Sus scrofa: one gene and its partner. The protein of the gene in region 2 binds, or shares a complex with, the protein of the main gene of each other region. Links are inferred from orthologs where the notes say so. Each region holds a gene or a part of one and is shown on either strand. Other genes may lie near its edges.

The links.
Region 1: TMEM67 (region 2) and TMEM237 share a complex: the UniProt entries of both Homo sapiens proteins name them as parts of the tectonic-like complex. The link is inferred for Sus scrofa from reciprocal best matches to the Homo sapiens genes TMEM67 and TMEM237.

What each region holds. Positions count from the first base shown.
Region 1 is NC_010457.5:105,272,953-105,277,278, forward strand, and holds the start of TMEM237 (transmembrane protein 237), read right to left. Parts: upstream 2,856-4,326; 5' UTR 2,771-2,855; coding exon 2,753-2,770; intron 1,503-2,752; coding exon 1,471-1,502; intron 872-1,470; coding exon 861-871; intron 1-860. UniProt on the Homo sapiens protein: Component of the transition zone in primary cilia. Required for ciliogenesis.
Region 2 is NC_010446.5:42,906,861-42,910,657, forward strand, and holds part of TMEM67 (meckelin), read right to left. Parts: intron 2,077-3,797; coding exon 1,920-2,076; intron 1,066-1,919; coding exon 942-1,065; intron 1-941. UniProt on the Homo sapiens protein: Required for ciliary structure and function. Part of the tectonic-like complex which is required for tissue-specific ciliogenesis and may regulate ciliary membrane composition.

The DNA.
Region 1 (4,326 bases), on a different chromosome or scaffold from region 2:
AGAAAAACCCCACATATTAAGTCACTGAGATTTGGTGGCGACTATGACATAACCCAGTCTATTCTGATGAAATGAGACAAAAGAAAATATAGTCTGGACTTCCTGCTGTGACACAATGGGATCAGCAGTGTTTAGGGAGTGCTGGGACGCAGATTTGATCCCTGGCCTAGCACAAGGGGTTAAGGATCCACAGTTGCCACAGCTGCCCCTTCAGTCAAAACTGCAGCTCAGATCTGATCATCCGTGGCCCAGGAACTCCATTCGCCACAGGGTGGCCAAAAATGAAAAAAAAAAAAGAAAGAAAGAAAATATAGTCTCTATTATTGAACTGTCAGCTTAACCAACAGTTATGTTCTGGGTGACTCCAGTCTGGGATGAATACTTTTTTATTTTTAAGGTCAAATATTGACCATATAACTACTGTTATATATCAATCATCATTTTAAAATGGTAGTCATGGATTTCCCGTCGTGGCTCAGGGGTTAACGAACCCGACTGGCATCCATGAGGACACAGGTTCAATCCCTGGCCTCGCTTAGTGGGTTAAGGATCTGGTGTTGCCGTGAGCTGTGGTGTAGGTCTCAGATGCAGCTCAGATCCTATGTTGCTGTGGCTGTGGCATAGGCCAGTGGCTACAGCTCTGATTGGACCCCTAGCCTGGGACTCTCCAAATGTTCTGGGTGCGGCCCTAAAAATACAAAAATAAATAAATAAAGTTAAATGGTAGTCATAGAAGATTACTAGGATTTAGCAATATATACTATTCAGATTCAATTTTAAGAGGAAATTAAGAAATCAAACTAACTTACAAACATCAAATACTGTATTTAGAAAATTTTATACTGAGTGAACTAACTCACCTTGAATAGCACTTTACATGACACCAACCAAATTTAATCAGGACAAAGACAAAAAGAAAAACTCTATTAATTAGAAATCTATTACATGGTCATATTGAAAACTGTCTTAAATCATTACAAATTTAAAATAAAATTAACTTCCACACAAACTCAGCTAGTTTACAAACTAGCTTATTATTTATAATAAGCTGTTTAATAAGGCTAACGAAATAACCCCAATATTTTCTGAACCTACATATACATACTCCCTTCAGTCTAATAATAAAGTGGATTGAACAGATTAAGAACTCTTATTTTGTCACTGACTAAAATCGGCTTAAACTCTGAGGAAACTATTCTAGCAAACAAAAGAGGATCAGAAGTCTGATAAACAAGACACTAAAACATTCCGAATGAATCCATTATCCTAACATGTGGACATTCAATCTTTGATGCAAAAGGTTTAATTATAACTGTTATTTCAATAATTCAAGTATTTTCCACCTTTAAATTTTTAGGAAGCCTTTTCTGAATTATCATAATTATGTAATGGTATAGTCTCAATATGTTTCACTTTATTGATTTTACGTTTTTAAAATTCAATAATAAAATTACTACAAATTACTTTTACCTTGGCACAGGTGGAAGGGCCCGTGGAGGACGCTATGGGGAACAGAAAAAGAAAACGGCTTGTAAGTAAAGCCTTAGAACATCTTTACTTCATGTACCTCACATTTTTGATAGCCCTGTTCATCAGTTAATGCCCAGGAGGCACTGATGAGGATCAAATGGGCAATTTTAAATTTGATCTATCATTTCTAAATTTCTTACAAAAATTCCTTCCTTCCTATATTCCTTACTATCTACAGGCCAGGGCCTGTTCTAAGCATTAGGGATACATTAATGAACAAAACAGAGAAATGCCTGCTTTTTTGGAATTACATTCTAGTGGTTAAGTATTAGAAGATAACATTAAATATATTTATACACACATATATCAGTATGTATACATATATATGCATATATAAATATATATAAAACCATGCACGTTATTACAGTAATGTGTATGATCATATGTATTACTTTAGTTAGGGAAAGTCTCTCTGAGATATTACAGCTGAGATTTGAATAAGAAAGGAACCAAAGGGAGCAAATACAAGGCTTTTAGGGGAGACTGGGCTTAAATAGTTCCAGATAAAAGAAAGCCAGTAAAGAAAAAGCAGTTATCCAAGCATGGGCAGATTAATTAGGAAGACCAAGGGAAGGAGCTTAGATTCTATTTTAATTCCATAGGAAACCGATGGAGGTTTTTAAGACACAGAGTAACACATTAAAAAAAAAAAAAATTCTCTGAACACAGCGTAAAGAACACATTTTAGGGCAGAAAGCATTAAAAAAAAAAAAACTTACAAAAACTTCTTTACATGAAAAAGAAAAGTGTTTGCAGTTCAGAAAAAATACAGTTAAGTGGCATTCTGGAATTTTTCAAAATAAAATACCAACAGAAATGTCTAAAATGCAGTTTAATGTTGCAAGTATCTCAAGCTGCTTGCAGAGGATACTGACTAAAAAGGGTTAAATTTTAAACACTCCGATTGTTTGTTCCACAATTGTCCCATTTCGCTATCCATTCATTCAAAAGATGTATTAATACAAATGCTACTACACTAGGACAAGGTCTTACCACTATCCAGCAGTTAAAATTCAACTGGAAAAAAAGAGAGTCACATGAAAGCGCTATTGTTCTCAAGATGCTAAGGACCGCGTTCTAACCAAGGGCTCAGTTCACAGGGTAACTCCACATTTCAAAAGTCCCGCAAAAATGAGGTGTCATCTATCCAGAAAGTCAGTCTCTACGCTCCTCAAAAGGTGGGTGGCTCAAGTAAACTCAAAAGGAACTAAAGCTGGCTTACCACTTGCTTCTTCCCCATCCTGTCTAAATCCGGGATGCCCCGCGGCCGTGGGCTCCCGGGAGAGGGTTCACCGCCGCCCGGCCCGCTCCCGCGCAGGCGCAATGCGTCATCGGGCTGCGCTGTCCAGGCCGCTAGGACCCACAGCCTCCTCCCAGCAAGATGGGAAGGAAGGGGAGCGGGGTGGGGGACCCTGTCTGGCCTTTTCTGTCTACTCCGGCGTTAAAGGGGGCATCGGAGTCCGGGCTGAAGTGCCCTGGAGGAGAGGCTCCAGCGGGCGCGGGGTAGCAATCACGGTTTTCCCCATGATTTCCCAAGTGGTTGCGGACATTTGTTCCAGGAATGTAAGAGAAGACCAGGACTGAAAGTTCCCCACTGGCAAACGGCGATCTCATTCCCGGGCGGCTAAATGCCCTCCGAGGGGCGTGAATAAGGAGGGCCTCGTCGACTGCCCCCGAAACTCGCAAGGGCTGGGGCCGCTGAGAAGTGAGGCGTCGTCATGGCAACGTGCGCACCCAGGCCCCCGGAAAATTCACGCCTGCCCCCTCACCCGATTCTTGGAGTTCGGGTCCGGCCTTGGGACGAATTTCCAGCCCCCAACCCCAACCCCAACCCCAAGCCTATCCTGTGAGCGCCGAAGGGGCTGCTGCGCGAGCTCCTGGAGCTGGGCTCTCCCCTTTCGATCCCGTCCGCCTCACCCCAGAGGTAGCTGCCCGGGTGGAGCAGAGGCCGACGGGCCCTAAACCGCTCACCGGGTGGTCCTCCTCCACCCCGAGCCCGGAGTCGGCCCTCATGGCTTGGTGCCCGCCGGGCTGCCTCGGCGCAACTGCCGCGGGCCCGAGGCTGCTTCCCCGCGATGCAGAGGTCTCTCGGACTTGCGGGAGGCGGGGGCTTGGTGGCGCCAGACTAGGGCGCCTCCCCAGGTCTCCGCCCGCCTCCGCGCGGCCAAGCTTCGCAATCCCTGGTGTCAGAGACGCATTTAACCACCAAGCCCAAAGTTTAGCTTGGGGTTTGAGTGTGTGTGTTGACGCAGGCGATTCTCGGATTTTCTTCCATTGCTTACCCTCCATCCAAAGAAGCACAGCATAAAATCAAATCTAGGCTCACCAAAGTGTTAATAATGGCTTAATTTTCTTCATTTTGTTTAGACATTTTAGAAAAATAATAAGTATTCATTTCACATGGAAAACTACAGATATTTTGAAGTTTAAGGTTAAGAAGGAGTAAGGGGATGGTGTGGATATGACATACAGGAGTAGGAAGAGCTGCTGGAAGACAGCCTTCGTGGAATAACGTCCTCATGGGGGGGGGGGGAGGTGTCTCAGATATTGGTCTCTACCACCGAAATCCATTCCTCTTTCCTAATTTAAGCATAAATGTAGATACTAGCTTTGGGGAAAATTAATGATTGTTACAGCTCTGATCAAAATAACGTTTCATTGTAGCCTAATGTGTAAAATGATGGGAGCAGTGCTGTTTCTGTAAGTTCTGGTGTTAGATGTGAAATGTGTGTATTAATGCTTCTTGCAGTTAGTCAAGTAGACACTTTTTGTAAAATTCATGTTCATGAAACAGAA
Region 2 (3,797 bases):
TAAAGAAAGGCAAGAAAGGCAAATAATACACTGATTTTCAAAGAAGATGAATTCTTAACAATATGTGTCATATCTACTACTATTTGTGGCACACAGTGGGATACATTTGCTGAATTCAATGCATTAGTAATGTACAGTTTATCAACTCAAAAAGGAAGGTGCCAAACACAGTGGCCAGCATGGTTTCACCAAGATCAAGTCAAGCCTGACAAGTCTCAATTTTGTCTTCACTACGGATACCAAATTAGCAGACCGAAGGAGTGCCAAAGACCGTACAGTGGGACTTCAGCAAGGTATATGAGAATGCTTCTGTAGTGACTATCTCATAAAATTATTATGAAAAACAAAATGAAAAGATAGGGGAAAAAACAGTATATGTTGAAGTGCCAGAAAGATGAGGGTGTTGATTTTCATGGGTATATTCCAGGTGCACATCATAAAATATCAGCGTGGGAAAAACAGTTAAGGCCTTAGAGATAGGAATCTCACACTGGAGGAGACAGGAGGGCTGCAGGCCACTACCCGAAAGCAGGGTCATCAGTAAAGTATCCCAGGAAGAGGGAGGTATTGAAAAATAACAGAACAGTAGCTGCTAAAGGAGAGGGAGCCAGAGGAGGCCTGCCTTTTGCAACCACCTGGCAGGCTCTTTCTAACACCCGTGTCAGCCCATTTATCTTCACCTTCCCCAAATTCTTGACCTATTCTAATTTAGCAGGCCTACAGTGGGGCCTAGAATGTGAATTTTGGCCAAACACCTTCAGCTTTTGTGACATAATCCTCACCTCTATTTGTGCATACTAATCTACATAGGCATCTAAAAACACGTTATTTATCATTCCAGTTGAGTTGCTGTTATTGTTTTCATCTGATAATTATGGATCAACACTTTCACTATGACATTTTCATATATGAAGCAAGCCTCATTTAGTGCAATTGTTTACCTTAGTGAGATTTGGGTAGCAACTCGAATTAATCGTGGCTGACTTCCTAAGTCATTTTCTCGTCCACTTAGTGCATCCACTAAGAAGATACGCCGAGTCAGGAGCCACTTGCCAGAGTTGCTGTCTTTTATCATTAAAAAAAAAGAAAAAAAATGGCATTTAAATAATATCTTCTACTGTTCAAGATGGCGCTCAAGGAGAAGTTTACTCCACAAATTTAAAACATGACATTAGTACACTTTGTTTTAGATGAGATGGTTGCAAAAATAGCTACTGATGCAAGAAATTCCTGGTCATGGCTTTCTCTACCTGTACCTGAATGTCTTCTAAGTGTCTGGACTTTTCATCAGTTTAGAAGTATTATCCCTGCAAATTTCCTGAGCCAATAGGATTTTATAACATGATGAACAAAAAAGAAACTAATTTGCCCAAAAATCAACTCAAGGACAGCTTGAAGAAGCCCTGATTTTACAGTTCTACTAATTTTTCCCAGGATACACTTTTAGCAATAATATAATTTCTTAATAAGCTTGACACAGTTAGCAAAAATTTCTGAATATACCAGCAACCTTACTGTTTTACTTTTGGGCATGCTATATAAAACCCTATAATTAGGGAGTTCCCGTTGTGGCTCAGTAGTTAACGAATCCGACTAGGAACCATGAGGTTGCGGGTTCGACCCCTGGCCTCACTCAGCGGGTTAAGGATCCAGTGTTGCCGTGAGCTGTGGTGTAGGTTGCAGACACAGCTCGGATCCCAATTAGACCCGATTAGACCCCTGGCCTGGGAACCTCCATACGCTGCTGGTGTGGCCTTAGAAAAGGCAAAAAGACAAAAAACAAACAAACAAACAAAAACCTTATAATCAGAGAGAATCTATGACCTTTCTTATAATCTGTAGTTTACTAAATTATTATCTTGGTAGACTTATTTATGGATTTCAGCTCAGAGAAAGAATGGTGTGGATGGATGTCTTACCTTGGTTCACAAATATTTTATTGTGCTGAAGATTTAAGTTTAACACAGGCACAGCCCAAATATATTGGTGTTGATTTTCATCAGTATATTCAATGTACACATCATAAAATGTAGGAGTGGGAAAGTCAGTTAAGATCTTAGAGATAGGAATCTCACACTGCAAAATAAAATAAAAAGAACCCAAATTAAAAATTAGAAATCATATGTATTATCTTTAAAGGTGTTTTTTAATTATAAAATGAAATACCTTTCAATTATCTTGTTTATGTGCATTTTCATGTGACTTTCAAAACACAAATACTATATACGACTCTTTCATAAGGATCCTACAACCCAGCTGGGGAGGGTATACATTCATTCTCAACAGTAAGAGTACTGCAGTGAAAAGGTAGGTTTAAAAACGCCTATCCTGTGAGGTAAGGTCCTTTTTCTCCTGATGCACACTGCTGTTTATGATTTGGCTCTCCTTCACAAAGCCAGGATTTCCCTCCAAAGCTTCCTGTCTATCTATGGTCCATTCAAACTGATCTATTTATAGTCTCTAAATATGCTATGCTCTCTGTCATTGCAAATGGTGTTTCCACCTGACGTTCTCTTCCCCACTATGCTCTCCTGGCAAACTCATATTCATTCTTTAAGTTCAAGTATCACTCACTCTGTAAAGCATCTCTTCATTTCCCCGGAACTACTAATGACCCCTCCTTTGGACCAAGAGGGTACCTTGTTCATACTCATAGAATAACACATCACATTCTTTGCAATTCTCAGTCTATATAGTTGCTTTCTCTATTAGGCTGTGAACTACTTGAAAGGTAACCGGGTTCAACGGAAAAAAAAGACATGGTTTTTAAGCCTAACAGAACATTTACTTGATGCAAGACTTTGAGTAAATTACCTAATCTTACTGAGCACCATTTGCCTATCTGAAAAAAAAAAATTAAGTGTACTTTATATAGTTATTTCATGGATCAGGTGAGATAACAATGATAAAATGCTGAGCACAAAGCGGCAGGCATCTTAACAAATGTTGATGCTCCTGGCTCAAGGTAGACATACAACATTTTTAAAAATAATATATAAATCATTTCAGATAATAATAAATTCATGTTCATGATAGAAAATTTAGAAAATATAGGAGAGTCCCTCTGTGGCCCAGCAGGTTAAAGATCTGGCAATGTCACTGTAGTAGTGACACGAGTGGCTGTGGCACAAGTTTGATCCCCAGCTCAGCCAAACAAAAACAAAAACACAAAAAGAAATTTTTTGGGGAAAAAAAAAACAACTGCTATCCCACCATCCAGAGATAAACTACTGTTATAAATGTTTATCTTCTTCCAATCTGTTTTCCATGGTAGTATTTTTCATTGTGGTTTTAACAAAACTGCGATCAGTTTTGTTCTATGTTGTGTGTATATGGATTTTATCAAGAAATATTTTTGTAGGAGTTCCCCTCATGGCTCAGAGGAAACAAATCTGACTAGCATCCATGAGGACGCAGGTTCAATCCCCGCCCTCGCTCAGTGGGTTAAGGATCCGGCATTGCGTAAACTGTGGTGAAGGTCACAGACATGGCTCGGATCTGGTACTGCCACAGCTGTGCTGTAGGCCAGTGGCTACAGCTCCGATTCAACCCCTAGCCTGGGAATCTCCATATGGCGCAGGTGCAGCCGTAAAAAGACAAAAGAAAACAAAAAAAAAGAAATATTTTTGTAGACCAGTGAATTTCCTTCAAACGTTTAATGGCTCATAATATACCTTTGTACCACACTGCAGTTTTAAAATGCATCACCAAAGGAAGGAAGGTCAGGGAGGGGGGGAGGAAAGTATGGAAGGAGAGGAAAGGAAGTTCTTTTATTTGTTACCGGAGGGAAGAGGGAA